Linked DNA regions of Mus musculus. The protein of the gene in region 6 purifies or fractionates together with the protein of the main gene of each other region. This does not show direct contact. Links are inferred from orthologs where the notes say so. Each region holds a gene or a part of one and is shown on either strand. Other genes may lie near its edges. The genes, in order: Rb1, Bcl7c, Chd7, Ss18, Cebpb, Smarca4 and Bcl7b.

Region 1 (3,980 bases), on a different chromosome or scaffold from region 6:
TATGGAAAGCATCACTCTAATTGGGGAATGACTGAAAGTGTTTCCTCTAAAACTGGGGATGAGGAAAAGGTGCTCACTCTTACTGCTCCTCTCCACTATAATGCTTGAAGTCCTCGTTAGAGCAGCAAAACGAGAAATGAAAGGGATGCAAATAGAAGGGGAAGAAAGCATCTCTATTTGCCGAAGGTATTTGATCCTGTATTTTAAAGACTCCAGTAGAAAACTCTTAGATGTGTTAGATACTTTCAACACTGCAGAATATAAAGTCAACAAGCAAAAATAAGTACCTTTCTACATACCAATAACTAACTTGCCAAGAAAAGAAAAGATCCCATTCCTAACAGCTTCAAGAGCATGGTGTTACACACCATTAATCCCAGCACTTACAGCAGGGCAGGATCTCTGTGCTTCAAGGCTGCTTGGTCTACATAATAAGTTCTAGATCATTTAGAATTACAAAGCAAGACCTTGTAACAACAAACAAACAAGACAAAAAATATTAGCTTCAAAAAAGAAAATGCCTAAGAATCAACATAACCAAAGTAGTAAAAGACCTCTACAGTGAAAATTTAAGAACCCTTAAGAAGATGAAGATACTAGAAAATTAAAAAACAAACAAACAAAAAAGTCTTATGCTCTTGGGTTAGCAGAATTAATACTGTGAAAATAGTTACATTACCAAAAATACCTATAAGCAATACAATGCGAGGCCTATTTCTAGTGACATTCTTTACAGAACTAGGATGATGCCCCTTAGCAATGTTAGTTTGAATAGCCAACCTGACACAGTGTAACATTACTAGGAAGGGAGTCTTCAGGAATTCTTTGGACACAGCTATGGCAAGCTGCCTTGACTGCCTTAATTGCTGGGGAAAGACCCCACCCAATCTTTTCATTGAAATGGGAAGACCTAGCCTGAGAGTAGGCAACACCATTCTAGGGTTTTTGCCTCTGAACTATATAAATTTTCATAGAGAAAATTCTATGAGTACTGGGCATGCATGCACTTATCCCTGCCTGCTCTTTATTGTAGGTGTGATGTGACTAGTTGTTTTAAGTTCTTGCCTCTTTGACTTCCCTATTATGATAGACTATAACCTGGAATTGTGATTTAAAATAAACCTTTCTCTTGTAAGTTGTTTTTTGTCAGGATATTTTATCACAATAGAAATGAAACTAATATGAGGTGACAAAACATTCTGAGTAACAAAAGCAATACTAAGCAAGTGTCAGAATAGTTGATTTCAAAGTATACTGTAAAACCATAGTAACAAAACTGTATGATATTGGCATAAAAATACATGGACCAACAAAGAGAATTCAGAATTAAACCTATACATTTATAGCCACCTAGTTGTTGACACTGGGGGAAAAAATCCTCTTCAAATAATGCTGAGGTAATTGGGCATCTACCTGCTGTAGATGTTTAACTCAATCAATATCTTTTGCCCAATATCAGGCCAGTGAGATACTTTAATGGGTAAAGGCAATTGTTAAGCCTGATAACCTGTATTCAATTCTAGAACCCATACGGCAGAAAAACTGACTCCTGAAAGATGCCCTCTGACCACGACACATGCAGTGCATGAGAGCATGTATGCACACACATTAAACAGACAGACAGTCAGACAGAGAGACAGATTGTGATTAAACATAACACAGGGCTGAGTGTGGTGGGGCACACCTTCAATACCAGCATGTATTGAAACTGATAAAGAACCTCAAATTTTAAATATTATTAAAGCAAATCATTCACTCAAAATACAGGTTAATGAACCAACTAAACACAGTTCTCAGAAAAAGATATACATAGGAGCACTAAAAATTTGAAATGGGGAAATGCAACTTAAAACTGCTTTGAGATTCCATTCTGCCCAAGTCAGCATGGCTAACATCAAAACAACAAATGTTAGCTGGCAAAAATGTGGGAAAAGAGAGCCTTATATACTGTTGGTAGTAAGGTAGAGTAGGGCAAACACCATGCAAGTCAGTGTGAGGTTACATAAAACTGCCATTCCACTATCTTATGTATGTCCAAAAGACTCGACGTCAAGACAGCAGAGAGATCCATGTTTCCTGCCATACTACTAAGAATAGCTAAGAGATAGAGCAAGTGGAGATGTTCATCCACCCATGCACAGATGAAGAAAGCCAGTCAATATATATAAAATAGAATTTATTCAACCACAAATAAAAATGAAATCACATTATCCTTACAAAAATGAATGCAACTGGAGGTCAAAATAAGTCAGACTAAAAAAAGACAAGTATGTTCTCTCCTATGAAGATTCTAAAACTTAAGTGAGTGTGTGTGTGTGTGTGTGGTCACGAAAGTTGGAAAGGGAGATGAGAGGAAGAGAGTTTTAAGGCATAGGGGAAAAGAGTGTGTGACACAAATGTGTGTGGCACAGGTGTGATACAAATGCAGGAGAAGCCGTCTAGAGGTGGCAGGGGACTAGCAAATGGAAGATAATGGATGGGAAAGAAGAGTGGGGGAGGAGATGAATAGAGAAAACAACAATGGTGTATCTGTACAAAAACTGTCACAGTGAAACTCGTTACTTTGTATATCAGTTTAAAATGAAGCCAGTTCAATGGTTGTGGGTACTTGGTGCCCAGCAGGCCTGGCAACTTGAGTTCAATCCCTAGGCCTTCACTAAAAGCAGAAGGAACACAGCTCCCACACCACCACCACCATCATCATTATCATCGTCAGAATCATCACCACAGCCACTGCCATCATCACCATCACCATCAGAATTTTTTTCATGTAAAATAAAAATTAAAAACCTAAGAAACCATTGAAATGAAAAGCATTCTAGTGCTATCAGAGGGTACTCTTGGATAGTGAAATTATCACTAACTTTATATATTTTACTTTATAGATTTTCTTTTTAAAAAATTAACTTTAAAAGCATTCTTACCAGGATTCCATCCACGGATGAAACTTTCTCCCAAGTTAGCCAAGCTCTTTCTCTGACATGATCGGGTACCTTTAACTTTTGACATAATGCAATAAATTCGGGTTCTTCAATTTCTTCAAACTCAAGCCTACAAATTAAAAAGTTACAAAATTGATACACTTGCAGATCAAACTAATTAAGCAAACACTTGTTTCTATAGTTTGCACACACCAGCACAGTTTTGAAAGAGAACATCTCTGAGTGCTTTAAGGTCTTACTTTATCTTTGAGAACCATTACACATCATTTAAACATATGCTTATCTTTTTTGTGGGTTTTCCAAATAAGACTAGCACAAAGTGAAGAAGAGCTGCTAGCATGGTGAAGCACATATACTCCAGAGCAGCCGGACAGCATTGTGAGACACAGCAAGTGCACTAGCTAAAGCACACTGGGAAGACGGAACTGTCACAGCAAAAACGAAAAAACCACACCCTGGTCAATCCATACATTCTCTCCACCTTCCTGTATTTCTTAATGATTAACTTGATAGAAATGATTGCATCACGTATTTCAGTCCTATCTCTTTGACCTTTCTTAACTGTAAGCTTTTAATGGCTAATTCCTTTCAATTTGACATATAACAACAACACTAGGAAGAGCAACTTAATTCTTGAAATTTTACTATGATCCTATGCATGGTTTTCCTGAGTCCCCACATCAGCCATACTTGGTAAGTCTTCCCATTCATGTTTTACACATCTACCATATTAGGGAAATTAAAGCAGTCACTAGAGGCATACCAAGTGGAAATTACCCAGGTATGAACCATGAGTCTTAACTCCATCATCTGTGCTCCTGACCACTTTTCCAGCTGGGCAACTCCTTCTTCAAGCATAATTAGCGTCTGCATATTTCAATAACGCAAGTGTTTCAGTCTCCTAGTCTCAGCTTCTCTTCCACATGTAGTACTTAGGAGAGAGACAGTGTAAAAGAAATAACACCCCAGCTGTCAAAGCAGACTTATTCTCAGTGGAGACGGACCGGGTTGAATCCATACCTAAGCTATTTTCTAAGC
Region 2 (4,568 bases), on a different chromosome or scaffold from region 6:
GTGGGAGAATGGATCAGGGACAAAAGAAGCAGGCAGGCACTGGTCACATATGGCAGCAGCAGAGGGGGATCCCTAGTTGCCAAGGAAGGCAGACTCAGTCAGGTTGGATCTCGTTAGTGGGGAGTGAGCCAGGAGACAACAGAGGTAGAGCAGAACTTAGGCAGACAGAAATAGATGCTTAGCAACCACGGATCCTAAATCATCTGCAGAATGGAAATAGTGTCAGTCAGACCACGAGAGGCTGCTGTGTGTGGGGGTCAAGGGTGGAGCTGCTCAGTAAGTGCCAGGTAGCAAGTTCATTCATTCACTTACTCATTCATTTCTTACATTTCTGTGGTAGTAGAGATGGGGCTCAGGGCCTTAGGCATGTCAGATAAGCACCTACCACTGGACGCTTCCCCTGCCCTATCCGTTTATATTAGCAAAAGTATTTGGAACAATCTCGGTATGGCCCAGGGGCCATGTCATGGTGTTCTTGACAGGGGAACAATTTTGGCGGCAACAGTTTGTCAAGGCCTCAGTGTGAAGTGAAGGAACCAGAGGCTGCGGGGAGCCGAAGAAGGATGTGAGGCAGGAAAATAGCCGTCTCGAACGTGTGCTTTAGGAGAGCTGCTCTGCAGCCACCGGGGACAGGCGTGGAGGCCAGAGCAGGTACAAGGGAGAAACGAGAAGGCAGAGCCAAAGGCACAGGAGTCAGGCACGCCTGGGAAGTGGTACTGACCAGACAAGGGGTGGACTATTTGAAGACAGAGGAGCTGAAGAAGGCTCAGGCCCAAGGTGTTGCTCACTGGCTCTTAAGTCTGGGCATCTTTCTCTGGATGTTGGTCTCCTCGTGTACAGAGAGGACTCATGATAGAATCATTGGTCCCAAAAGATGACAGTGAAGATTAAATGCGAAAACAAACAACAGAACTTCGGAGTGCTCAGAGGAACGACTCACAGACAAGCGGTTCTGTTAGCTGTTAATCTACTGCTATTAATCCCTATGATTATTGGAATTATTTATTCCCTGAACATCTATTACGCATCCCACATGATCAAGATCGGTATGGCTGACAGGAGATGATAACAGAAAAAGACAATAAGCAAGCAAAGAAATAAATCTGCAAAAAAAAAAAAAAAAAGTCAGCTGGTGATATGCTCCCTACAGATCTAAGAAGCCGGAGGATTGAGGCACAGCTGGAGGTGATCTCTGCCAGGGTCAGGGAAGATTCCCTGAGGGAGGCGGGACCGGGTGAGAGGACATAATATAAGAAACAAGGACAGGATGGTGGGTTCAACTTTGATGAGAGGGCTCCTGAGAGCCACAGGGCCCTACCTCTCTCCTGACCCAATTGTGGGGGCTGAGTATCTTCAGTAATCACTTCTGGGGGTCCAGTTGGTGATCCAGGGCGGCTGGGCTGGGGCGTCCCCCCAGGGCTGGGCTCAGCACCCTTTTGCAATGAACCTTCAGAATGGAAACTCTGGTTGCTGTTCTCATCTGATGAAGCAAAAGCCGCGCGTTAATTAGCCAGAGATCCCCAGGGGATTCCTTCAGTCCCCCCCACCCAACTCCATTCCAGAATCTCTACATACCATTGAGATCCAGTAGGATGAGGGGGCCTCCCCCTCTGGGACTGGTGCCCCTACCACGTCTCTCCCGGCCACGGGATCTCTCTGCCCCGCCTCCTGCCCGCCGCCTCTCCTGGGGGTTAGAGAGGTAAGATCAGAGCTAGTTGTCTAGGGAGCTCTTACAAAGCCCTTCAATACGAATAAGGAAACCTAGGCTCAGAGAAGCGAAAGGTGCTGCATCAGGTTGTGTAGATTGAGTTAGGCCTTGAACTTGGAGAAAGTGTGTGTGTGTGTGTGTGTGTGTGTGTGTGTGTGTGTGTAAGTGCGCTCGCGCCCCCTAATAATCGTTACCATCTGCCTGGGCTCCACACTGGAGTCTCCAAGCCGACTGAAGGTGGAGGCCAAGGCTGGGAGGGAAATTGCTTGAGGCTGCACAGATGCAAGGCCTGTTGGGGGTTGGGGCTTGCTCACCTCCTCCTGGGGATCCACCACAGGCACCCACTTGAAGATTCGAAGGGAAGTGTCTCCCACAGTCACCCAGCGCTTCTCCCTGTGGGAGGTCAGGAGACTGGATCAGGGAGGCCCAAGGATGAGCCCCACAGACTGGAGGTCAGGGAGGTGTGCTAGGGTAGGGACAGCTTCGCTAACACTGGCACAGAAGCAGAAAGAGCCCTCAAACCCCAGGGCAAAGCAGAAACGGATATAACTTGGAGCTGCGGTTTTGCAGACACCTGGGGCACTCAGCAGGGCGCCACCAAGGCCTGGCCAGGGACTCTGGCAATGAAGACCCGGGGCCAAGCTTGCTAGAGTGTCAAAAGCTTCAGGGGGCGGGGCATAGATGAGGGCTCCCGCTCAGGGAAAGCACCACTCCGGACCACGCTTTGTAGACCTCTGGGAATTGCCGGGGAAAGGGGGCGCCCTGTCGATTCAGAGCACAGCTGGTGGGCGGGGGCAGCGGGCCAGGAAAGGGCGGACGCGTTTGGAGGAGGTGGCTTGGCTGTATCCCTGGCCCGGGGGCAGCGCTCACCATCTCCGGACCTTCTCGATGGTCGCCATCACCTTCTTGATGTCATCTTTGGCCCGGCTCCGGGTCTCGGCCCGCACGGTCCGGCCGGCCATGCTGGCGGGGCTGGGGCCGGGACAGAGCCCGTGGCGGGGCGGCCTGTGGTCCGGCGATCTCAGGCTGAGCGCCAGGCCCCAGCGCCGCTCTTTCGGCCTGCCGTCCCTCCGGGAGTTGGCCGCGCCCTCCCTCGCTCCCCAACGCCTCCGCGCGTCCCCGCCTGGCTTCCTAAGACCGCGCCCCGCCCCGGCCCGTCCCCGGAGCGGCCCGGGCGGCGCGGGCTGCTAGAGCCCCGGCCTGGAAGCCCGGCCAGCCCCGCCCCGGCCCGGGCCCGCCCCTCGGGGCGCACGGACGCACAGCGCCCTCTGCCAGCCACGGAGAGGGAGAGCTGGGGGGCAGCTGTGCGGCTGGACGCGCGCGGCCCGAGCGAGGCGGTGCGTTCCGGCCACGTGGGCTCAGGGGTGCGCGAGAGGGACTGTCCTGGTGTGCGTCCGCGGCGGGTGGGCGTCCCTGAAATGCTCTGTGCGCGCGTCTGCCCTCTCCAGGCTGTTTGATTCTACGCTGCCCAACTTAATTTGTTCATTCATTCATTGAACAGTCCCATGAACAGTGCCAAGTACGCGCCAGACGCTGCGAGTGGAGAGCGGGCCTCCTCAGCCAGAATGGCGGGAATGAGAAAGACCATGTAGATGGGGTAGCAGAGCAACTTGGCATTCCTTGAATCAGGTTGTGTAATTGGTAGAGATACTTTGGAAAACTGATAGTCTTCCAGTGAAAAACTTATACCAACCCCGTTTTCCAACACTTTCCACTCCCAAGCTATCAACACTCAACAGAAGAAATGTGTGCTTGCCTAGTTTTTTGTCAGCCTGACATAAACTAGGTCAGCTGGGATGAGGGAACCTTGGTGGAGAAAGGGCCTCAATCAAGATGCCCTATGGGTAAGTCTGTGGGGCCATTTTCTTGATGGTAGTTGATGTGGCAGAGCCCACACCACTGAGGGCAGTGCCACCTCTGAACACTCTAAGAAAGCAGGCTGGACAAGCTTTGGGGAGTAAGTCAGCAAGCAGTATTCCTCCAAGGTCTCTGTTTCAGTCCCTGCCTCCAGGTTCCTGCTTTAAGTTCCTTCCCTGACTTCATAACGGACTATCACTGCAAGCTGAACTACATTCTTCCCTCCACGAGGTGCTTTTGGTCATGGTGTTTATTACATCACTAGAAACCTCACTAGGACAAAATGTGGTGTCTGTATGAACACCAAGATATGAATACTGGAAAGTTTGGGACTCTTTTCACAGTAGCAACAACCTGGAAACAACACAAAGAATGGAATGGAAGGGGCTGGCGAGATGGCTTAGTGGGTAAGAGCACTGACTGCTCTTCCAAAGGTCCTGAGTTCAAATCCCAGCAACCACATGGTGGCTCACAATCACCCATAATGAGATCTGACGGCCTCTTTTGTTGTGTCTGAAGACAGCTATAACAATAAATCTTTATAAAAAAAAAAAAAGAATGGAATGGAAAAGCAATTACAACCTATTTCTACCATGGACACGGACAGAACAGCCAGAATCACCAGAGTCCAGCTATGTGCAACAGTGAAGAGAGATCTTGGATGAAAGAAGTCAGATGTGACAGCATGCATTAGAATAATAATTAGAATAATTAGAATTATATACATACATACCTACATATAATTCTATATATAACAGAAAACAAATACATTTTGGGGGGGGGGTCTGGACAGTGATCACTATTGGGACTACCAAGCAAAAGAAGGGGTTTCTGGGACCCGCTTGTCACACTGGTCTTAAGTCTGTCAAGATGTACATTTAATACTTGTGTAATATTTCTTGTGTCTATTATAGTTCAGCTAAAGGTTTACTTAAAATGGATGCTGTCAAGATGTCTCAGTGAATAAGGCATTTGCCACAAAGCCTGATGACCCAAGCTCAAA
Region 3 (3,980 bases), on a different chromosome or scaffold from region 6:
CAAGCGTCTGGTATAATTACTCTCAGCGAGCCTGGTTTGTCTCTTCTTGTGCCCGTACAACTTCTTTTCCCCTTCTGCTGGGTCCTTAGCTGATAAAAAGCAAGCGTCAAGTCCACTGCTGCTACTTCAAGCAGGCTCTGCAGGGCCCCGGGCTTCGGGGTGTGCCCCAGCAGACGAAGCTGTTGGGAAATGAAGGAAGGTCTTCCAGAACATATAAGTGCTATTACCTTCCTTAAACTGCGTGGTAAGCTGGCTGCATGGCTGGCTTAAGCTGTTATCAATTACATTGTAACATTTATTTCCTTGGAAGTTAAGAGTGAGCCTTGAGCAAATGAAGACTGACTTTTTAAGTTTTTTTAGGTTACGCACAAATTCAGTTTATCAATATTTGTTGCACTTGGCACTGGAATTTCTACTCCCTGCTCTGGACTTTTATTTGTTCTGGGGGGAAAAAAAAACCCAGCATATTTTTAGAGAAACAGCTTTCCTATGTACTTGATTCTCTCCTGTCTGACCTCTGTATTTGGAGAAGGTAGATCAGAAAATATATGGCAGGTAGTGGCAGAGTGAGGCGACCTTTGACGTTGGCTGACAGCTGTCACCTGAAAGCTACAGACCCTCTCAGGTGTCATGTCTGTAGTGCTGACAGTGAGCAGGAATGTTGTTTACATTTCCATAAACAGAGTCTCCTCCGTGTTACGAATACGTTAGGATAGGGCAGGTAGAAGAGAGGGTTATCTGTCTCATGGGTGACTCCTTACAGAGTTGGTTATATGCATATTCTTGTGGCAATCCGCAGTAGAATTCACAACTGAGTCTGTCCAGAGCATCTCTGGAAATTCTCCATCGTGTGCTTCTGTGTGTCGCAAGTGGGTCAGTGCCACCCAGTGCTTAATGTGCTGTGAGAGGAGATCAGCTGGTGACAGTCCAAAGGAGTCTCAGGGTCCAGGCATTTTTCTTATGCGAAATCATTCTTGATTAGTTTGTTGATTCAGTAAGCATTGAACAAAACCACTTTTCTGTTTTGGTTGTTAAAGCAGTCTTCAAATCAAATTGGTTATTTTAATATGACCCCAGATCTATCAGAGTTTATAGCTAAGGCAGAAAGCTGGGATGCTATTCGGTTAGCATAGGAGGTGAAGGGATGTGCCAGCTAGCCCCACTCCCTCCTGCTGTGTCCTGCTTTGTCCTATAAGGTTTTTAAAAGGTCTGGTGGATATTTTTAACTTTTTTTCTGTTAAAGTACCATCCAGTTTTGGCTAGTTTCTGAAGAGGTCTCTGTCTCTACCAACAGGAATAGTCAGTTGTCTACAGCTAGTCTTTGAGTAGTCACTTAGCCCTCACCACAGCCAGTGGTGGGGTAAAATGGAGCCTGTGTCTTGACCCTGCTACCATCTGCCCCACAATCGCCCCACAATTCTGGAACGTGATGGGCCCAGAGCCATGAGTGAAATCGGTCCTCACGGAGAATGAAAGCTTCACTTGTGGTCTCTTTCTGAATCTTGCCTATTCCTGCTATTAAGCATAATGAAATTATGAATTTATTGTGTTTTCAAGCTCGCTTTTCAACCTCATTACGGGTGCTTTCTTGTTAGATGCGTCTGTTGCCGTTGCAGAGTTGTATGTGGGCTGTAAATATCTAATTTGTACAAAATGACTGATTTTGGTATTTGTATAATCCTCCAGTCAATTTAACTAAGTTGGGCTTTTCCCAGTCCTCGGTGCCACGCTCGCCGCTCATCTGATTACCGCTCATGGGAGTGAGGTTAAGGGGTGCTGTTGGGAACCAGAGCTTTAGCCCAGCAGATGGGCTGCCGGCTATATTCATACATCTGCTTGCCTGCTGTGGCAGCTGCTGCTGCTTCACGTTGTGTCCTTTTGTTCTGTTCCATCCAAGAACGGAATGTGAGGAAGTGTAGTGAATGGATTAATTTAAGGTTAGGTTAGTGTTGTGCTGCCTTTCCACGTAACCGATCAGAGTGCTTCTGGTAGAAGCTAATGAGTTTCCCTTAAACTGAACTAGGTTTGTAAAATACAGCTCAGCAAGGGGCCTGGGTTGGCATTGTTGATGGGAACTAAATTCAAATGTGTAAAATACCGGCAGCTTTTATCATTTGTTCCTAATTCTTTGTTTCCTTTTTTCTCTCTTCTCACCCCCCACTCCTTTCCAGGACCTATATCCAGACTTCGCCCGCCCGCCTGACACTGCAGGGTCCGAGAGAATTAAGGAAATCTAGAATGACACGAAGAAGATTAGTTAAGGATTATAGGTTTTGAGGACAAGCACCCCAGAAAAGTGAAGCACAGACAAGCTCCCAGGCTGTGTTCGGAGGAGCCGTGTGTTAGAAGAAGATGGCGGACCCAGGGATGATGAGTCTTTTTGGCGAGGATGGGAGTCTGTTCAGCGAAGGCCTCGAAGGCCTCGGGGAATGTGGCTACCCCGAAAACCCCGTGAACCCCATGGGTCAGCAGATGCCCATAGACCAAGGTTTTCCCTCCTTACAGCCATCCCTCCACCATCCTTCACCTAATCAGAATCAAACCAAGTTGACCCATTTTGATCACTATAGTCAGTATGAACAGAAGATGCATCTGATGGATCAGCCTAACCGAATGATGGGCAGCGCCCCCGGGAACGGATTGGCGTCTCCGCACTCACAGTATCACACCCCTCCCGTCCCCCAGGTGCCCCACGGAGGCGGTGGTGGCGGTCAGATGGGAGTCTATCCCGGCATCCAGAACGAAAGGCACGGGCAATCTTTTGTGGATGGCGGCTCCATGTGGGGCCCCCGGGCCGTTCAGGTACCAGACCAGATACGAGCCCCCTACCAGCAGCAGCAGCCGCAGCCGGCTCCTTCGGGGCCCCCGGCACAGGGCCACCCCCAGCACATGCAGCAGATGGGCAGCTATCTGGCACGTGGGGATTTCTCCATGCAGCAGCACGGCCAGCCACAGCAGAGGATGGGCCAGTTTTCCCAAGGCCAAGAGGGCCTCAGTCAGGGAAGCCCTTTCATTGCCACCTCAGGACCCGGCCACCTGTCGCACATGCCCCAGCAGAGCCCCAGCATGGCCCCTTCCCTGCGCCACCCAGTGCAGCAGCAGTTCCACCATCACCCCGCTGCTCTCCACGGAGAATCCGTTGCCCACAGTCCCAGATTCTCCCCCAACCCTCCTCAACAAGGGGCTGTCAGGCCACAAACCCTTAACTTTAGTTCTCGGAACCAGACAGTCCCCTCCCCTACTGTAAACAACTCAGGGCAGTATTCTCGATATCCTTACAGTAACCTAAATCAGGGATTAGTTAACAGTACAGGGATGAATCAAAATTTAGGCCTTACAAACAGTACTCCAATGAATCAGTCGGTACCAAGATACCCCAATGCCGTGGGATTCCCGTCAAACAGTGGTCAGGGACTCGTGCACCAGCAGCCTATCCACTCCAGTGGCTCACTGAACCAAATGAACACACAAACTATGCACCCTTCACAGCCTCAGGGAACGTACGCCTCTCCACCTCCCATGTCACCCATGAAAGCAATGAGTAACCCAGCAGGCACGCCGCCTCCGCAGGTCAGGCCCGGAAGTGCTGGGATGCCCATGGAAGTTGGCAGTTATCCAAATATGCCCCACCCTCAGCCATCTCACCAGCCCCCTGGTGCCATGGGAATCGGACAGAGGAATATGGGCCCCAGAAACATGCAGCAGCCTCGTTCGTTTATGGGCATGTCCTCGGCACCCAGGGAGCTGACCGGACACATGAGACCAAATGGTTGCCCTGGTGTCGGCCTTGCGGATCCACAAGCAATCCAGGAACGACTGATACCTGGCCAACAGCACCCTGGTCAGCAGCCATCTTTCCAGCAGTTGCCAACCTGTCCTCCACTACAGCCCCACCCAGGCCTGCACCAGTCTTCACCTCCACATCCCCATCACCAGCCTTGGGCACAACTCCACCCGTCACCCCAGAATACCCCACAGAA
Region 4 (3,980 bases), on a different chromosome or scaffold from region 6:
ATCTCAAAAACACATAGATCAGAAGCTAGGCAGGCATGGGTTGCAACCCCCAGCTCCAGAGGCACAGACAAAAGAAGGATCCTACAGCAAGCCAGTTGGCTAGACCAAAGGAACTGGGGTGCTCTGAGTTCAACTCAGAGACCCTGCCCCAGTCAGCATACAGACAGATGAAGACACACCACACACATTCTAAATACAACAAGTCAGCCAGTGTCTTGTGTAGGCTAAAGTGTGAAGCAGGATTGTTCAGGAACTTGGCTAACTACCTAAGTGCTCTACCTTGCAGTTCAGGTGGACTATGGTATAAAAGAGGAGGCAGACTACTGTGAGGGGTGTTGGTTCCCTAATTTCTTTCTCAGCCTGTTTATCCTTTGTGTACAGAAAGGCCATTGATTTGTTTGAGTTAATTTTATATCCAGCTACTTCACTGAAACTGTTTATCAGGTTTAGGAGTTCTCTGGTGGAATTTTTAGGGTTATTTATATATACTATCATATCATCTGCAAATAGTGATATTTTGACTTCTTCTTTTCCAATTTGTATCCCCTTGACCTCCTTTTGTTGTCTAATTGCTCTGGCTAGGACTTCAAGTACTATATTGAATAGGGAGGAAGTGGGCAGCCTTGTCTATTCCCTGATTTTAGTGGGATTGCTTCCAGCTTCTCTCCATTTACTTTGATGTTGGCTACTGGTTTGCTGTAGATTGCTCTTATTATGTTTAGGTATGGGCCTTGAATTCACATGATATGTACTCACTGATAAGTGGATATTAGCCCAGAAACTTAGAATACCCAAGATACAATTTGTAAAACACATGAAAGTTAAGAAGAAGGAAGACCAAATTGTGGACACTTCACCCCTTCTTAGAATTGGGAACAAAACACCCATGGAAGGAGTTACAGAGACAAAGTTTGGAGCTGAGACAAAAGGATGGACCATCTAGAGACTGCGGCACCCGGGGATCCATCCCATAATCAGTCACCAAACACAGACACTATTGAATACACCAGTTTTTTGTTTGTTTGTTTGTTTGTTTGTTTGTTTGTTTTTTCAGTTTTTGCTGAAAGAACCCTGATATAGCTGTCTCCTGTGAGGCTATGCCAGTGCCTGGCAAATACAGAAGTGGATGCTCACAGGCATCTATTGGATGGAACCCTATAGGAGGAACAACAATATGAACTAACCAGTACCCCCAGAACTCGTGTCTCTAGCTGCATATGTAGCAGAGGATGGCCTAGTCGGCCATCATTGGGAGGAGAGGCCCTTGGTCTTGCAAAGATTATATGCCCCCGTACAGGGGAATGCCAGGGCCAGGAAGCAGAAGTGGGTAGGTTGGGGAGCAGGGTGTGGGGGAGGGTATAGGGGACTTTCAGGATAGCATTTGAAATATAAATGAAGAAAATACCTAATAAAAAAATTGGAAAAAAAATAAAAGAAGAAGAAGGAGGAGGAGGAGGAGGAGGAGGAGGAGGAGGCAGAGGCAGAGAAGTGCCGAATGACAGAAGCAGGAAGATGGAGACATCCGCTCTAGAAGCCGGAAGCATTCATCTGTCTGTCTTAGCTGCACACCACGCTTGCAAGAACAACGAGTCTCACCTTTTAAAATATATCAAGTTATCTAATCTGGTTTTAATTTTTAAAGCATTTTTCTTAGATTATGCATATCCGTGTGTCTGTGTACGGGTACCATGCACACACGTGATATAGTCAGATCCCCTTGGAAGCAGGAAGCAAAGGTGGCTGTGAGTCACCTGACATACTGCTGGAAACTGACCTTGGGTCTCTGCCAGGAGAACAAGTGCTCTTAACAGCTGAGCCATCTCCCTAGGACCCTCATCAGGTCTTTTAAAGGTAACTTAACTATTCAATAATAATTTTACTTCTTAGACAGACTTTATTTCTGGGCTGGAGAGATGGCTCAGTAGTTAAGAGCACTGGCTGCTGATCCAGAGGACCTGGACTCAATTCCCAGCACCCACACGGCAGCTCACAAGTGTCTGTAACTGCAGTTTCAGGGAACCTAGTGTGACCTTCGGACCTTCCCAGGCACTGTACACAGAGTACAATTTCTGCCCTCTCCCCCACTCTGCTCTGCACAGAAGCAGGCACGCTCATGCACCTCACCCTTCCCGTGTCTGTCTCTTGTCCTCTTGTCCTTACTTAGAGACCAAGTGCCAGTACAAAGGGCTGCAGGCCTGACAGATAGACAGACAGACAGACAGAGCAGGAAACACTGCTTGCAGCTCTAGTGCTAGTTACAGCATTCTCAAATTGTGACATCTTCTACATTAGCCTCAGATCCCTGACTTATAGACTACACACAGTTCCATGTTCCTAACTCCCCCACTTTAGTACCTTACAAGCAGTGAATGTATTAAGATGTCCTCACTGCAAATTCACTGCACAAACCTGAAACATTCCGTGGTCTATAGTCATTCCCAGAGCAAGTCAGAACAACCACGGCGGCATCCCTAAGTGCCTAGGCGCACAGTCCAAGTCTGCGGGGTCTGATTAAAAAGAGAAAAACCCAGATGGATACTACCAGGTTCTAGGGAATCTTATCTTAGGATAAGTAAGACACATTTCAACATCTGAAATCGAGGGTAGAGAAAAAACACTTGGCGATAGAAACACGTGTGAAAGTGTGAGCAGGGAACTTGGAACACAAAGAGCTCTGACAGCAAGTCCAAGTATGCCGGGTGAGCTGCACTGGGGAACAGAGGAAAGCACGGGCCGCGTTCACTAATGAGGGACACTGGAGAAGTACCGATGACAGTGTGTCCGGGGACAATGAGCTGCTGTTGTACTTCAAGCTGTTACAATCAAGAGTGATTGTTATTCAACTGTGCTGGTCTTCTCAAATATCTTAAAGTACTAATTAGAGTGTAGTAGTGGCTAGCAGTCATGAGAAGGGGGCTACATGTGATTCATCATGGTTGAAATTCCAGTTCATGGAAGCTGACAGATCACAGGTTCAAAACAACAACATAGTGAAATCTTGACTCAGAAGTCCACAGAAATGAAGGACAGCGTGGTAACTCCACGGCTGGTAGGCAACTTACCTGGTCGTACCCATAAGGCCTCTGCTGGGGTGGCTGGGGTGGTCCTGGCTGTGTTGGTCTATAGCCCCCATACTGCTGACCTTGACCCTGAGGATAATTAGGATACTGAGGACCTGGACCGCCCTGCGAAGGACCTGCAAGACAACAGCAACAAGCCCAAAGGTAAAGCTAGAAAGAGTCTCCACAATTTCAGCAAGAATTTCAAACAGATGTTACAAAATTCTTATATCTAAACTGAAAGGGCAGTCAGTCACTTTTGCACAGTGAGATCAAAGCTAATGACTATAGTAAAAGCAAAATAGGGGCTGCTGCTTCAGTGAAATGACTGGGACTATGATAAAGCAGGCCCAGGAAGCAATGGCCCACAGTAACCCCTCAATAATAACTAAGTTAAGATCCATAAGTTAGCCAGGATCAGGTCCTGGTTCTATAACCTAGAAGCAGGCCCAAATGACATAATTTCTGACTAAAGTTGTAAAAACAATGACATACTAATTGTGTGATTAAATTTACATTTGAAGTCATCAAAATGGTAGGGCTGTACCACCATCAATAAACTTATATCAACAGAATTTTAAATAAAAAATGAATGACTCAAAAAGCCACAAGCTGTAATGTGAAAAAAAGCTGAGTGAAAAGTTACACTTTGAAGGCTGCAGGTATGGCTCTGTAACTCCAGTTCCAGGGATCCATGCCCACTTCTGACCTTCTGAAACACTGAGCACACACGTGGTACACATACATACAAGCGGGCAAAACACCCACCCCCGTGAAATACAATTAAATTTTAGAAGAGAGTTAACACACTGAGAATCAAGTATTGTTAATAGTGTAATTGTCCCTATGGGAGAGACCGCCTGTGTTAAGCAAGCTTGTCCGCTTTAGAAACTCAACTAACGACAGCCGAGAGCCATTTCT
Region 5 (3,906 bases), on a different chromosome or scaffold from region 6:
ATCCACTACTCCTTGGACACCCTCAACTCTCACTAATGCGGCCCGGCTGCAGCAGAGCTGCCCCGGCAAATCTGAGTGTTGGCCCTGCGTTCAAGTCCTGGCTCAGCCACTCTGAGCGCAGTAAGAGAGGCTCCTAGTCCCCTCTGGGCAGAAAAAATAGTGAGAAAGGGAAAGCAGAGTAGGAAGTGTTCCCTTCACCTTCCTCTCGGCCCAATCTCTCTTCCAGCTACACAGGGACACAGACACCAAACAGGCGTGCGGTCTCCCCCACACCACCAAACACACAGAACTCACCTGCCCTGACCCAGCTGTCTGGACTAGCCTTTCCTACAGAATGTCTAGTCCTCTCAACACAAGTCTGACACTCAAACCAAGCCGAGGGCGGCCCGTCCCAAGCAGGGTTTCTAGCAAGTCCCCCAGCACCCGTGGGTGCTGAGTCACCCTGAATTCCTGACCTGGCACTCTGCCCCCTCTCCTGGGGGGAGGGGCTGACACCCCATCTGCCATGGGAAGAGAAAAGCCCAGATGCGACACCCCCACCCACCGCCACACACAACCCAAAAATAACCCGCAGCCCCCTACACACCAGAAACACAAAAACAAAATCTCGCATAAATCCAAAGTCGGGAGGGAAGAAAAAAAATTTTTTTTCAAAAGCCAACTACTGCCCCCAAAAGGCTTTTAAACATTCTCCAAAAAAGTTTATTAAAATGTCTTCACTTTAATGCTCGAAACGGAAAAGGTTCTCAAAATATACATACGCCTCTTTTCTCATAGAAATAGAACTTTTTTATATAATACAAAAAAAATAATAAGACCAAAAAAAAAAACAAAACAAAACAAAAAACAAAAACAAAACCAAAAACATCAACAACCCCGCAGGAACATCTTTAAGTGATTACTCAGGGCCCGGCTGACAGTTACACGTGTGTTGCGTCAGTCCCGTGTCCACACGCGCTCAGCCACGTTTGATCCGGATTGCATCAAGTCCCGAAACCCGGTGCGCTGTGCAGGTGCGTGCGCGCGGTGCCCGCGGTGTGCCCGCGGTGTCCCCTCGGTGCAGGTGCAGGTGCGCGCAGGGCACGCACGGTGGTCCGGGCGCGCGCGCGGGGCCGGAGCGCGCGGGGCAGGGCGCACGGTGCCCAGGGTGGCCGCGGCGCCCCCCACGCCACCCGCGCCGCGCTAGCAGTGGCCCGCCGAGGCCAGCAGCGGCTCGGGCAGCTGCTTGAACAAGTTCCGCAGGGTGCTGAGCTCTCGCGACAGCTGCTCCACCTTCTTCTGCAGCCGCTCGTTCTCCGCCGTCAGCTCCAGCACCTTGTGCTGCGTCTCCAGGTTGCGCATCTTGGCCTTGTCGCGGCTCTTGCGCACCGCGATGTTGTTGCGCTCGCGCCGCATCTTGTACTCGTCGCTCAGCTTGTCCACCGTCTTCTTGGCCTTGGCCTTGGCGGGCGCGGCCGGCGGCCCCGCGAAGCAGGCGGCGGGCGCGGCCTTGGCGTCGGCGGGGCTCGGCGTGCCGGGCGGGCTGGACGACGACGACGTGGACAGGCTGCCGCTGCTGCCGCTCGGCGTCGCCTGGTAGCCCAGGTAGGCGCGCAGGGCGAACGGGAAACCGGCCGCCATGGCGGGCGCGTCGTCCGCGCGCTTGCAGTCCGCGGGTTCGAAGCCCGGCTCCGCCTTGAGCGCGGCGGGAGGCGGCGGCGGGAAGCAGGCGGGCGGCGCGGCCTTGGCGCCCGCGCGGCCGAGGCTCACGTAACCGTAGTCGGCCGGCTTCTTGCTCGGCTTGGCGCCGTAGTCGTCGGCGAAGAGGTCGGAGAGGAAGTCGTGGTGCGCGGGCGCGGGCGCGGCGAAGTCCGCGGCGGGCGCGAGCGGCTCCAGGTAGGGGCTGAAGTCGATGGCGCGCTCGTGCTCGCCAATGGCCGGCTCGGCGGCGGGGGCGCGCGGCGCGGCGCGGGCCGCCTTGGCCCCGTAGGCCAGGCAGTCGGGCTCGTAGTAGAAGTTGGCCACTTCCATGGGTCTAAAGGCGGCGGGCGGCGGCGGGAGGCATGCTGCGTCCCAGGCCAGCAGGCGGTGCATGAACGCGGGGCCCGCGGGCTCCGCTGCGTCCCGGTCCCGTGCGCGGCTCGGACTCGGCGCGGCGGCGGCCGAGCGGGAGGTTTATAAGGCGGCGCCTGGCAACGGGCTGCGTCACGCTGGGGCCCCTCCCGCCGCCCCGCCACCCGGTCGGTGCGCGTCATTGCCCGGCCACGGGAGCGCGAGAGGGCGCGGCGGGGAGTGGGGCGCGGCGGGGGTCCTCGCGCGGGAGGCTGAGCGGTGACCCGGGCGTCCCGCCAGCCCCGCGATGGCCACGGACGCGGGTGACGCCAGCCCGCCCCCTTCCCGCCCCTCGGGAACACGGAGGAGCGCGGCCGCCGCCCGCCCCCTGCTGGAGGACGCGGTGGCTCGTCCCGGCTCCGGTCCGCTGTCCCGGACCCCCAACTCTTGGGAAACAGATCGTTCCTCCAGCTACACGACCCCAACCCTCGGATCCTGCCCGCTGTCCCCGGGCCCCAATTCCCTGGAAGCAGCCTTCCACGGGGTGCATGTCCTCCCACCCAGGTGCTGCCCACACCTCTGGGACCCCCCCCCCAACTCCTGGGAAGCAGAACTCTCCAGGTGCACGCCCACCCCGGGGATGCTCGCTGTCCTGGATCCCAGCCCTCCACCCTATGTATGGCCCGCCTACCGCACCTGCCTACGCCACTCCCTGCGCCTCTCCATGAAGGTGGCAGGGCTGGGGGTTCTGCCACACTGTGTCTGGGTGAGTCACTTTGCTTCTGAGTTCCCTCCGTGGACAGTGTTGGTATTGTTAGTAGTGGTGTCATCAGAGACAAACGGACCCCCGAGAAGTACGATGCCTTCCTAAGACCTGCACAGCCCTGCCCAGAGGCTTCTCAGGTGATTGCGGTGGGAGCATGGTAGACCCCACTCCAGCCATAAGGACCCAGCGGTCACCCTGCAAGCTGGGGAGGCAACCCCTCCACCCCGTGCACTTGAATGGGCTGGGATCACCAGCCTCTCTCCGGTGAGACCCTTTTGAGGACGCCCAGGGCAACTCTTGGGGCCCACCCTTCTGCCACTCCTAGGTGGGCCACTCAAGCAGGAGCTGCCAACCTGTCAGGGGCTGACCCCCGACCCATTGACCCCAGCCCTGGCCCCGGCAAGCTGGCGGGGTGTTGCTCAACCTTCGGTGTTATCTGCTGAGCTGGGGTGACCTCCGCCCCCAAGAGCTGGAGAAATGACATCTCCCTGTGCCCTTGGGGGTGGGGGGCAGGGAGGGAAAGGGTAAGACGCTAGCCCTGCCTGCCTGCGGCTTTCTGGCCTTCCCAGCAGCCTCTGGGCCAGGAAGGGATCAGGGCCCAGAGAGGCGTGGTGACATCCCCAGGGCCACCCAGCCAGGCCTGGCTGTAAAGTGGGACGTTGGGGCTTCACTAACGGGCCCTCCCTTCTCCAACACTGGTGACTATTCTTCCCTGCCTGTAGGTCGCCATGCACGCACGTATTCTTTCCCTCAGTTTCCCCTCAGACTGGGCTCCAGGAAGGCAGAGAGTGAGCACACTATCTGTTCCCTCAACCCTGCTCCAGGAGCCCAGTCCTGGGTCCCTGGCCCCCAACACTCCTGACCTGAAAGCCCATCTCACCTGGCCTGTCATCCTTCTGTCCCTGCTGCCCACCCCCATGTCAGCCCCTCCAGGGAGGGATCTGTCTATCTATCTGTCTGTCTGTCTGTCTGTCTATCTATCTATCTACTGTGCACCACAACTTGCATGTGAAGGTCAGAACTTGGGGTTCGCTGACTGTCACAGGTCTCTCCTGGCAGATGGGTCCTGGGTATTGAACTCAGGTCTTCAGGCTTGGTAGTAACTACCT
Region 6 (3,980 bases):
ACTGGTAGTTATCTGTGGCCTGCAGGGCACAGAGTCCAGATGTGGATGTCCAGCTTGGACTCAGTGCACCAATGCCAACCCTCATGCTCTTCCTGTGAAGGATGGGAAGAAGACTATGTGATATTAGGCACCAACGTCAACACCTCAGACCACCCTGAAATGGAACGCTAAGGACTCAGAGGTCTTGAGTGACCCTGAAACTGTACACTAAGAATACTAACACATGCTTGCTTTTTAGGCAAGAGTCGAGATTCTCCAAAAGCACAGTTACTCATGATGACCGTGGCTGTGGTCACAGACCTGACTGATGTCTGTCCATCAGCACTTCATAACCTGCAGGTAAGAAGCCCTGACAGAGACACGTGTAACCTCAGGAGTGGGAACACTTCCCAAGGGAGGAGTCCCCAAACACGCAGAAAATACCTACAAGGTGACTGTTTTTTAAAGATGTATTTATTATGTATACAGTGTTCTGTCTACATGTGTCTACAGGCCAGATCTCATTAGAGATGGTCGTGAGCCACCATGTGGTTGCTGGAAATTGAACTCAGGACCTCTGGAAGAACAGCCAGTTCTCTTAACCTTTGAGCCATCTCTCCAGCCTAGAGGTGACTCTTGAGCAAATACTTCTAGAGACTTTAATTTTCAGTCCCATGATGGCTTTGCTAAACATCAGCTGAGATGTACACACCCAAAACTAGAACACCTGTTTCCTTGTCACAGGCCTGGGTTACACTGGGCAACTCCCCCCACCCCCCATAAATACCAGAAAAAGGAAAACTTGACAGATACAGGTGTAAAGACAGTGGCTAGTGAGAAGACCTTAAGTCTTTTTTGTTTGTTTGTTTCGACAGGATTTTCCTTTCTCTGTGTAGCCCTGGCTGTCCTACTTTCTCTGTAGACCAGGTTGGCCTTTACTCAAGAGATTCATCTGCTTTTGTCCCCTGAGTGCACCATGCCTGGCTGTCCTGGAACTCACAGACATCTACCTGGGTCTGCCTCCTGAGTGCTGGAACTATGGCCAGCTCCTTAGCCATTCTTAAGAACATCCTAAGGACTGAGGAGACAGATATGCCCTGCTGTACTCATGACAACCTGAGCTGGATAGCTGGCACTTAGAAGCCAGGCTTGCTGACTGATGTGAGTAACCTCAGAGCTGTGTAGAGAAAAACAGATCTGTGGAGCTCATTAGCCATCATGTCTAAAAGTTAGTGAGCTCCAAGTTCAATGAAAGATACCTCTAAAGCATAAGCCGAGGATAATAAAGGCATCAACCTCTGGCCTATTAACACATGTACACACATGGCCACAATCGTCAGGGACAAGCAGCCTAGCTCTGCCACCAAGAGCCAGGACTCTGGGCTGTGGCCTTACCTCGATGTGCTGGAACATGTAGGGGTGGTTGCAGATCTTACGCAGTTGCATAATAGTGTTCATCAGTGTCTTGGTGCCACCTTTGCCCTGCAGAGGCACATGAGATGGTCAAAACGGAATCCTGCCTTTAGGGCAAGATGGAGGTGGGCAAGATTGGGCAGGGTGGTAGAAGAATGGCCCAGAGCAAGCTGGTGGTTATCTTTGTAGCCCTGTTACGGAAGGGAGTTCTCTGAGAAGACCTAAGAGACTAACTGGCACAAGAACTGAATGGAAGCAAACATAGCAAACAGCAAAGGGTAAGCACACTCACAGTACAGCTACACAAAGAAGGGTACAGTGATCTGTACTAGGGAGGGAAGCAAGGAGCGCAATGCTCCAACGCACAGGTAAGAAAGGGGCTGAACAACAGACACACACCTAAGGCCATGGCTAGGATGCTGGGTACGGATTGCAGGGACTAGTAATTCCCTGGGGGACAAGCCCAGGCTTGCTTAGAGGAGGTGTAGAATGACACTCTTGAGTGCTCCCAAGAGAGCAGTGGCTCCCCCTCCCACTCTTTCCAATGTCGGGATGCCCCCAGTAATAGAAAGAGGAAGGGTGCAGAGGCCATGACAGATAAGGCTGCTGGGTAAGTAAAGTTCCATAGGACTATTCCCACTCTGCATCAGTCAGCCCAGGGCTTCCTGCTGTCTCGAGGAAGGCAGGTACTCAAACAAGGGCAACTCCAGAAAGCAGTCTAGTAAGCATCCTCAAAGGATACATTACAGCTGTGGCTGTTTGAATGCCTGAGGGATGGGGCCAAACGAAGTCTCCTGGGCAGAGTACCAATTCAATTCTCAGATCCCATGGTGCTCTTCATCTACCCTCTCCCTTTAGACAATCGTGAAATAGATAAAGAGGAACCTGGAACAAACCTTCTTGTCCTTCTCGGAGCCGTCAGTCAGCAGCACACCTTTGGCCTGCATGTGACGGTACAGCACACGCTGCAGGGCTGACATGTCGCATTTGATGACATACTCTACCTGTGGAGCAAAGAACACTCTCAGGCCATACAAACTTAAACTGGGTTGCCTGTGCCACCAAGTGGACCCTTGTGACCAGCACTCTGATTAGGACATGGGGTATGAGGGAGGAGCCCTCAAAGTAGGGAGATCTGGGAAGAGGAGGAGATTCTGGGTCAAAATTCTGGAAGGCTTTCCACAGCTTGTCAGAAAATAAACGGTGAAGTCAACCAGAGAGGCAAGCCAAGTGTGGGTGCATAGAGCAGAGGGCCCACACCACTGATACCACTCAGTAGATCCAACCTGAGTCCTAGCCTCTGTCTGTGGACAGGAGTTTGGACAAGGACACAGCAAGCATGAGTGTGACAAAGTTCGGTTCTGACCCAGGTCCTGGCTTTGCTGCACAGTGGTGTGAGTCACCACTCCAATTCCATGGAGCGGGTCCAGGGAAGGATCACCTGACTACACTCTCCCTGGGAACAGCCCCACAAATGGCACCTGTGGCTTCTGCCAACACCAACCTTCTCAGGGAGCTGGGCTTCAACTTCCTTCTTGAGCCGCCGCAGCAGGAAGGGCCGCAGAACTTTGTGTAGGCGACGAATAATGAGGATAGTCTCCTCTTCATTCAGGTCCACCTGGGAGCCAGACAGTAAATTATAACAATTCCTCCAAAAGTGGGGGGCAGGGCATAGGAAGGGCAGCTGTGTCATGGACAGCAGCTGTCACTTGGTACCCCTGTGCCCTCTGGGAGAAGAGGAAGACATTCATCCTTGGGAAAATGAAAATCTTCTGCCTTTTGTGTAATTTATGAAATGCCTAATGGCCAGGTACCATGCTTACCTTATACCTGAACACATATGACAATTGGCCGCTGGGTCTCCCTTAGGCAGTACCAATTTGGTGTTTACAACCACAGCATCAGCTGACTAAAGTCAGGCAATTTGGGGCATTATAAGCTTGTCTGATCAATGCCAAAGGCTGCTCTGACACTAGTCCCACACCTTCCTCTCTTGGCCTCAGAGGAGTCATTGCCTAAGAAGCACTGTTATCCAGATACTATTCTTTGGCTTCAAGGCTACATTGTTTAGCATTTAAAGTGTCTTTTGTTTACTTATTTGTTTGTGTCTGAGGGTGGGTATACCCTGAGGAGGTCACAGTTGGCTCAGATTCCACTTTGTGGGTTCTGGGACTCAAACTCAACTCATCAAGGATTGGTGTCAAGTGCTTTTAGTTGCTGAGCTACCTTGTTAGCCAGGGATCCATTTATCTTTATTTGACTGATTGACTGATTGGTTTTTCCATGCAGGTTTCTCTATATGTGTAGCCCTGGCTGGCCTCAAACTCAGAGATCTGCCTACCCCTGTGCCGACAAGCCCAGCTCCAAGAGACCCACTGAAGAGAACACCAGGAAGGAGAGGCAACTAAGATGGCATAGGCCTGAGCTTTTCTGCTGCGCTCTGGTCATCCCTTTTAGAGTTTTAGCTTGTAGGAAGAGAAGCTCTGGAAATGGAGCCTCAGAAGAGCCTCCTTCCTTACATGGATTGAAAAAAAACATCAATGTCCCTTTCACAGGGGCTGGTGCCTCAGCATGCCTCCAGGGAGGAT
Region 7 (4,461 bases), on a different chromosome or scaffold from region 6:
GGTCTGTTACAAGTCTGTGTCGACTGGCCTCAATCAGAACTTTAGTTCTCTCTCTCTCTCTCTCTCTCTCTCTCTCTCTCTCTCTCAATCAGAACTTTAGTTCTCTCTCTCTCTCTCTCTCTCTCTCTCTCTCTCTCACACACACACACACACACACACACACACAAACCAAAAAGCCACTTTCGTTTTTGTGTGGAGGATAGAAGTCCTGGAAAGAGGGAAGACCACAGTGGCCTTACACTGTCTTTTAGGAACCATATTCGAAGCTACCTAGCGTGCAGTTGCCCTTGCTTGCCTCCTTCTTCCCCACCAAGGTCGGTGTCATGGAGTAACAAGAACACAGGGAAAGGCTGTTCAGTGATCAGAAGGCTCCAGGAAACCGGAGGCATTGGTCTGGTCACCAACCCCTCCTTTTTGTTTGTACTTCCTGTGTCTGGCACTGGGATATCTGGGAGAAGGCAGGCAGTGGCAGGGACACTACAGAGTGTGATAGAAGGTGACCAGTATGTGCACAGGGGCCAGTAGAAGCATCAGAGCTCGTGGGATGGCCTTTCCACCTTGGGGAACACTGAGGCTCCTCCAAGCAATTGATTTTGTTGCAAATATATAGGAGCTTTGCAAGGAACCTGGAAAGGGAAGTCATAGCAGCCAGCAGCAGGAAGGTTGGGAAAGATACAGGCCGAGAAACAGTGCTCAGTCAGCTGCTAGCTGCTGAAGCCAGGGAAAAGGTTAAAGAATGGCAGGCAGGGAGGCCCTAAGGAGTGCAGGGACAGAGCACTCTCCACTGTAGGAGCCATGTTCACTTTGTCTGTAATTGTAAGGCCGAGCAAGATTCAAGGCTGTCACATCAGGCTAGGCAGGTCTGAAGGTGACAAGGAGGTCTGAACTGAGGCACCACAGAGGAAAAAGCAAGTGCAAGTGAGCAGACTGTGCCTGCTGGAGGCAATGGGGGAGGGGACTGTGGCTGCTTCAGCTTTTAACTTACTTGGTGACCTTAAGCCTTTAGACAGCCCCAGGTGCTAATCTCTCATCCTTGGGACAGTCCAGTGTCTGAGAGCCTGAGGTGATCTCCTCCAGGCACCACAGCCTCCATCAGGTACTCTGAGGTCCAGACACGTGGTGCTGCCATTCTGTGCCATGGGAAGGCACAGATGGCACCCCTGCCACCCACTGTGCAGCAAGAAGCTACCAGGCCAGAGCTGTAATTGGTCGGCAATAGCAGCATGGTTATATAAGCAGAGCTCCACATTCCTGGGCTAGAAATGTTGCAATCATAGGTTTTGGCTGCATGTTCTATATATTGTCAAGTAGAAAATGCTTGGGTTGGGAATATGGCTCAGTTGGTAGAGCGCTCCGGCAGTACACAGGAAGCCCTGGGCGCCATCCTCAGCACCACACAGAGGCAGGTGTGTGGGTGTATGCCTCCAAGCTCAGCACTCAAGCACTCAAGAGGAGAAGCCAGGAAGCTCAAGTTGATAATGAGTTCGGAGACATGGTGAGCTCTTTTTTTTTTTTTTTTTTTTTGGTTTTTCGAGACAGGGTTTCTCTGTATAACCCTGGCTGTCCTGGAACTCACTTTGTAGACCAGGCTGGCCTCGAACTCAGAAATCCGCCTGCCTCTGCCTCCCGAATGCTGGGATTAAAGGCATGCACCACCATGCCCGGCTCATGGTGAGCTCTTGTCAGGTGTGGTGAGTCACGTCTGTAATCAGGACTTGGGAATCAGAGCCAGGAGGACCAGTGCCAGGTTGTGGCTAGCCTGGTCTATAGAGTGACACCTGTCTCAAAGCAAGTCTGCTTAAACTCTGCAGAGAGTACCCAGGACATGGGAAACCCACATGGGCCTCCTTAGTGTTAGCAGTGTGCAGTGTGTCAGTGTGCCAGCGCCAGCTCTCAGCTCTTGCCTTACTGTGCTTGCTTTCCAGATGAGAACAGCAACCAGAGCTCTGTGTCGGATGTCTATCAACTCAAGGTGGACAGCAGCACCAACTCAAGTCCCAGCCCCCAGCAGAGCGAGTCCCTGAGCCCAGCACACACCTCAGACTTCCGCACTGATGACTCCCAGCCCCCCACATTGGGCCAGGAGATCCTGGAGGGTGAGTCATGGAGGTGCCCCTATGCATTTGTGGCCCTTGTTAGCCTCTTTTGTGTGCTACACAACGGAAGTTGTTTTGGTGTGGATAATGTGTGCTTGCTGTTGGCTGTATCTGTTCTAGATCCTTCCATGTGCTGTTTTATCTGATGTAGCAGCCCTCTCAGAACAGGGGGCCTTAGTAGGAATGGTGAGCTTTAGCTCCCAGTGTTTGCCATGCTGGGATGGTGGCCCTCTGTGATCCACTCACACTTCATTCTTCCCACATGAGGGATAGTGGCTCTTGGCTAGACACATGTGGTTCCTGGCCCTGCATCCTTTTGATATGAATCTCAGGAACTGCCCCCAGGCCAAGGGCAAGGCTAGACTTACCTTGGGCTAAAATTGCTGCTCTTACAGAACCTTCGCTGCCTGCATCTGAAGTTGCAGATGAACCTCCCACACTCACAAAGGAAGAGCCAGTGCCGGTGGAGACACAGGTAAGAGGTTACCAGCCTTCCCTATTTCCAGGGAAGAGAAGGAAAGATCCTAGGAATTGGGTGGGTAACACAGCTGTGCTATGCTAGGCTGTAGAGTCTGCTGGGAAAACAGTCACTGGTTCTAGAATAGGGGCAGGGTTTGGTCACCTAAAAGCAGGCAGAGGGCAGGCTGCAGGCTGCAGTGTGGTGAATGGGCAGGGCTGCTCGGGGTGGCTCATCACACCCTGTCCTGCTACTTCCAGACCACTGAGGAAGAGGAGGACTCTGGTGCTCCGCCCTTGAAGAGATTCTGTGTGGACCAACCTGTAGTACCGCAGACCACGTCGGAAAGCTAGCACCGTCCTGGCCCCTCGCCTCCTGGCCCCTGCCTCTATTTATTGCATTCTGGTCTGGCCGAGCTCTGATGCTGGGGTCCGGGCAAGCACTAGGGTCCAGAGCCTGTGCGTGGGAGCCCTCTGGGCTAGAAGGCTGATGGAGGGCGTGGGGTCGTCGCACCATCTTCTTGTTCCTGACACTTGTGTCTGCTTGCTCTTGAGCAAAGGAGCGCTCACATCTTTTCTGTAGCCCAAGTAGGCCAGAGCATCAGGGTTCATTTCTCACCTCCAGAACCACTGCACGGAGCTGCTGGCGCCGCCACGGGGAGAAAGGTGTGGAAGGCGCCCACCTGAGAGAAGAGTGCCTAGGATTACTTGAATTGAATGGAGACTGTGGAGTATGGACTTTGCCACAGGGCCAGGCCCTGCAGGCTGCTGCTGGGAGAGGGACTGACCGGTAGAGATGTGGAGAACACCGGAGAGAGGCTCTTCCGGGACGGAGGGGCTTTCGCCACCTTTGGGCAGAAGACCCATGGGAGATGCATCCTGTGCCTGAGGCAGACCTGCCTCTGTTGGATGCCCCAGCTGCTCCCAGCCCTGTGCCTGCCAGAACCTTCTGCTGCATCCTCACACTCACTAAGCACACCTGAAGCTTTCTATTCACCCGTCCTTTCATTCCAACGTCCCCACCTCCTCCTGCAGAAAACCCCAGCCATGATTGGAGGTTCTGACCACAGTACCTGCCCCAGTACTCCTTCAGCTCAGACTTTCTAGAAAGTTCCTTTTTCTTTAAAATCTGCATGTTTAATTAAACTTTATGATTTTATTTTTTGTCTGAAAAAAGAAAAGTTTAAGAAAATGGAAATGGGTAACAGCAAGTGAAGACCTATTTTAGCACTGAATAGAGTATTTTTAAAATTAAACTTTGAAATATGTCTTGTTAGTACTTGACAGCTTCTTTCTACAAAGTTATGGGAGCTGAGTTGGGTGGGTGAGTGGTTGTGACAGCATCCTGTCCACTGGATGCCCTTTCAAATGTAAATGCTTTCAAGGCTGCCCGGCCTGGAATGCCAGCCCTCAAGAGCCTGAGGCGGGAGAATCTGGAGGTTTGGACTCGGCTTTCTGAGAAAACCCTGCCTCAGGAAAATAGACAAAGAAAATAGGCTTGAGAAAATGGTGCAGTGGGTAAAGCGTTTTACCTGGGGAGAGTGAGGACGATTTCCAGCCCCACCTAGGTAAGGCCAGATAGAGGACTGCCGTCCATTATCCCTGTGTTCCTATGTGAGGTGGGAGTCAGAAACAGACTTCCTGGGAGCTCAAGGGCCAGCTAACCTGGACTACACAGATGACCAAATGACAGTGGAAGGCAAGGACCAAACTTGAGGTGATCTTTTGACCTCCATATGAACCCTGGTACACGTGCTGACACTCATGTGAACACCCGTCATACGTGAGGATCTAGTGTATGTATGTATGTATGTATGTATGTATGTGCATGCATAAGTTCTATACATCCATTCCTAGGCAGGAGAGAGAGGTGGCTTGGTGGTTACAGGCAGCACGTACTGCTCTTACA

What was found.
Region 1: the proteins of Smarca4 (region 6) and Rb1 purify together in Homo sapiens (affinity purification with western blotting; 7 studies listed by BioGRID, with this or other methods). This does not show direct contact. The link is inferred for Mus musculus from reciprocal best matches to the Homo sapiens genes SMARCA4 and RB1.
Region 2: the proteins of Smarca4 (region 6) and Bcl7c purify together in Homo sapiens (affinity purification with mass spectrometry; 6 studies listed by BioGRID and IntAct, counting the BioPlex papers as one, with this or other methods). This does not show direct contact. The link is inferred for Mus musculus from reciprocal best matches to the Homo sapiens genes SMARCA4 and BCL7C.
Region 3: the proteins of Smarca4 (region 6) and Chd7 purify together in Homo sapiens (affinity purification with mass spectrometry; 3 studies listed by BioGRID and IntAct, with this or other methods). This does not show direct contact. The link is inferred for Mus musculus from reciprocal best matches to the Homo sapiens genes SMARCA4 and CHD7.
Region 4: the proteins of Smarca4 (region 6) and Ss18 purify together in Homo sapiens (affinity purification with mass spectrometry; 8 studies listed by BioGRID and IntAct, counting the BioPlex papers as one, with this or other methods). This does not show direct contact. The link is inferred for Mus musculus from reciprocal best matches to the Homo sapiens genes SMARCA4 and SS18.
Region 5: the proteins of Smarca4 (region 6) and Cebpb purify together in Homo sapiens (affinity purification with western blotting; 3 studies listed by BioGRID, with this or other methods). This does not show direct contact. The link is inferred for Mus musculus from reciprocal best matches to the Homo sapiens genes SMARCA4 and CEBPB.
Region 7: the proteins of Smarca4 (region 6) and Bcl7b purify together in Homo sapiens (affinity purification with mass spectrometry; 6 studies listed by BioGRID and IntAct, with this or other methods). This does not show direct contact. The link is inferred for Mus musculus from reciprocal best matches to the Homo sapiens genes SMARCA4 and BCL7B.

The regions. Positions count from the first base shown.
Region 1 is NC_000080.6:73,319,093-73,323,072, forward strand, and holds part of Rb1 (retinoblastoma-associated protein), read right to left. Parts: intron 3,052-3,980; coding exon 2,925-3,051; intron 1-2,924. UniProt on the Homo sapiens protein: Tumor suppressor that is a key regulator of the G1/S transition of the cell cycle. The hypophosphorylated form binds transcription regulators of the E2F family, preventing transcription of E2F-responsive genes.
Region 2 is NC_000073.6:127,705,858-127,710,425, forward strand, and holds the start of Bcl7c (B-cell CLL/lymphoma 7 protein family member C), read right to left. Parts: upstream 2,910-4,568; 5' UTR 2,671-2,909; coding exon 2,579-2,670; intron 2,102-2,578; coding exon 2,023-2,101; intron 1,685-2,022; coding exon 1,576-1,684; intron 1,481-1,575; coding exon 1,319-1,480; intron 1-1,318. UniProt on the Homo sapiens protein: May play an anti-apoptotic role.
Region 3 is NC_000070.6:8,749,153-8,753,132, forward strand, and holds part of Chd7 (chromodomain-helicase-DNA-binding protein 7), read left to right. Parts: intron 1-2,171; 5' UTR 2,172-2,352; coding exon 2,353-3,980. UniProt on the Homo sapiens protein: ATP-dependent chromatin-remodeling factor, slides nucleosomes along DNA; nucleosome sliding requires ATP. Probable transcription regulator. May be involved in the in 45S precursor rRNA production.
Region 4 is NC_000084.6:14,630,481-14,634,460, forward strand, and holds part of Ss18 (protein SSXT), read right to left. Parts: intron 3,197-3,980; coding exon 3,063-3,196; intron 1-3,062. UniProt on the Homo sapiens protein: Appears to function synergistically with RBM14 as a transcriptional coactivator. Isoform 1 and isoform 2 function in nuclear receptor coactivation. Isoform 1 and isoform 2 function in general transcriptional coactivation.
Region 5 is NC_000068.7:167,687,189-167,691,094, reverse strand, and holds Cebpb (CCAAT/enhancer-binding protein beta), read right to left. Parts: upstream 2,181-3,906; 5' UTR 2,074-2,180; coding exon 1,183-2,073; 3' UTR 663-1,182; downstream 1-662. UniProt on the Homo sapiens protein: Important transcription factor regulating the expression of genes involved in immune and inflammatory responses. Also plays a significant role in adipogenesis, as well as in the gluconeogenic pathway, liver regeneration, and hematopoiesis.
Region 6 is NC_000075.6:21,667,965-21,671,944, reverse strand, and holds part of Smarca4 (transcription activator BRG1), read right to left. Parts: intron 3,011-3,980; coding exon 2,897-3,010; intron 2,397-2,896; coding exon 2,289-2,396; intron 1,462-2,288; coding exon 1,375-1,461; intron 1-1,374. UniProt on the Homo sapiens protein: ATPase involved in transcriptional activation and repression of select genes by chromatin remodeling (alteration of DNA-nucleosome topology).
Region 7 is NC_000071.6:135,178,025-135,182,485, forward strand, and holds the end of Bcl7b (B-cell CLL/lymphoma 7 protein family member B), read left to right. Parts: intron 1-1,925; coding exon 1,926-2,096; intron 2,097-2,491; coding exon 2,492-2,571; intron 2,572-2,813; coding exon 2,814-2,906; 3' UTR 2,907-3,828; downstream 3,829-4,461. UniProt on the Homo sapiens protein: Positive regulator of apoptosis. Plays a role in the Wnt signaling pathway, negatively regulating the expression of Wnt signaling components CTNNB1 and HMGA1.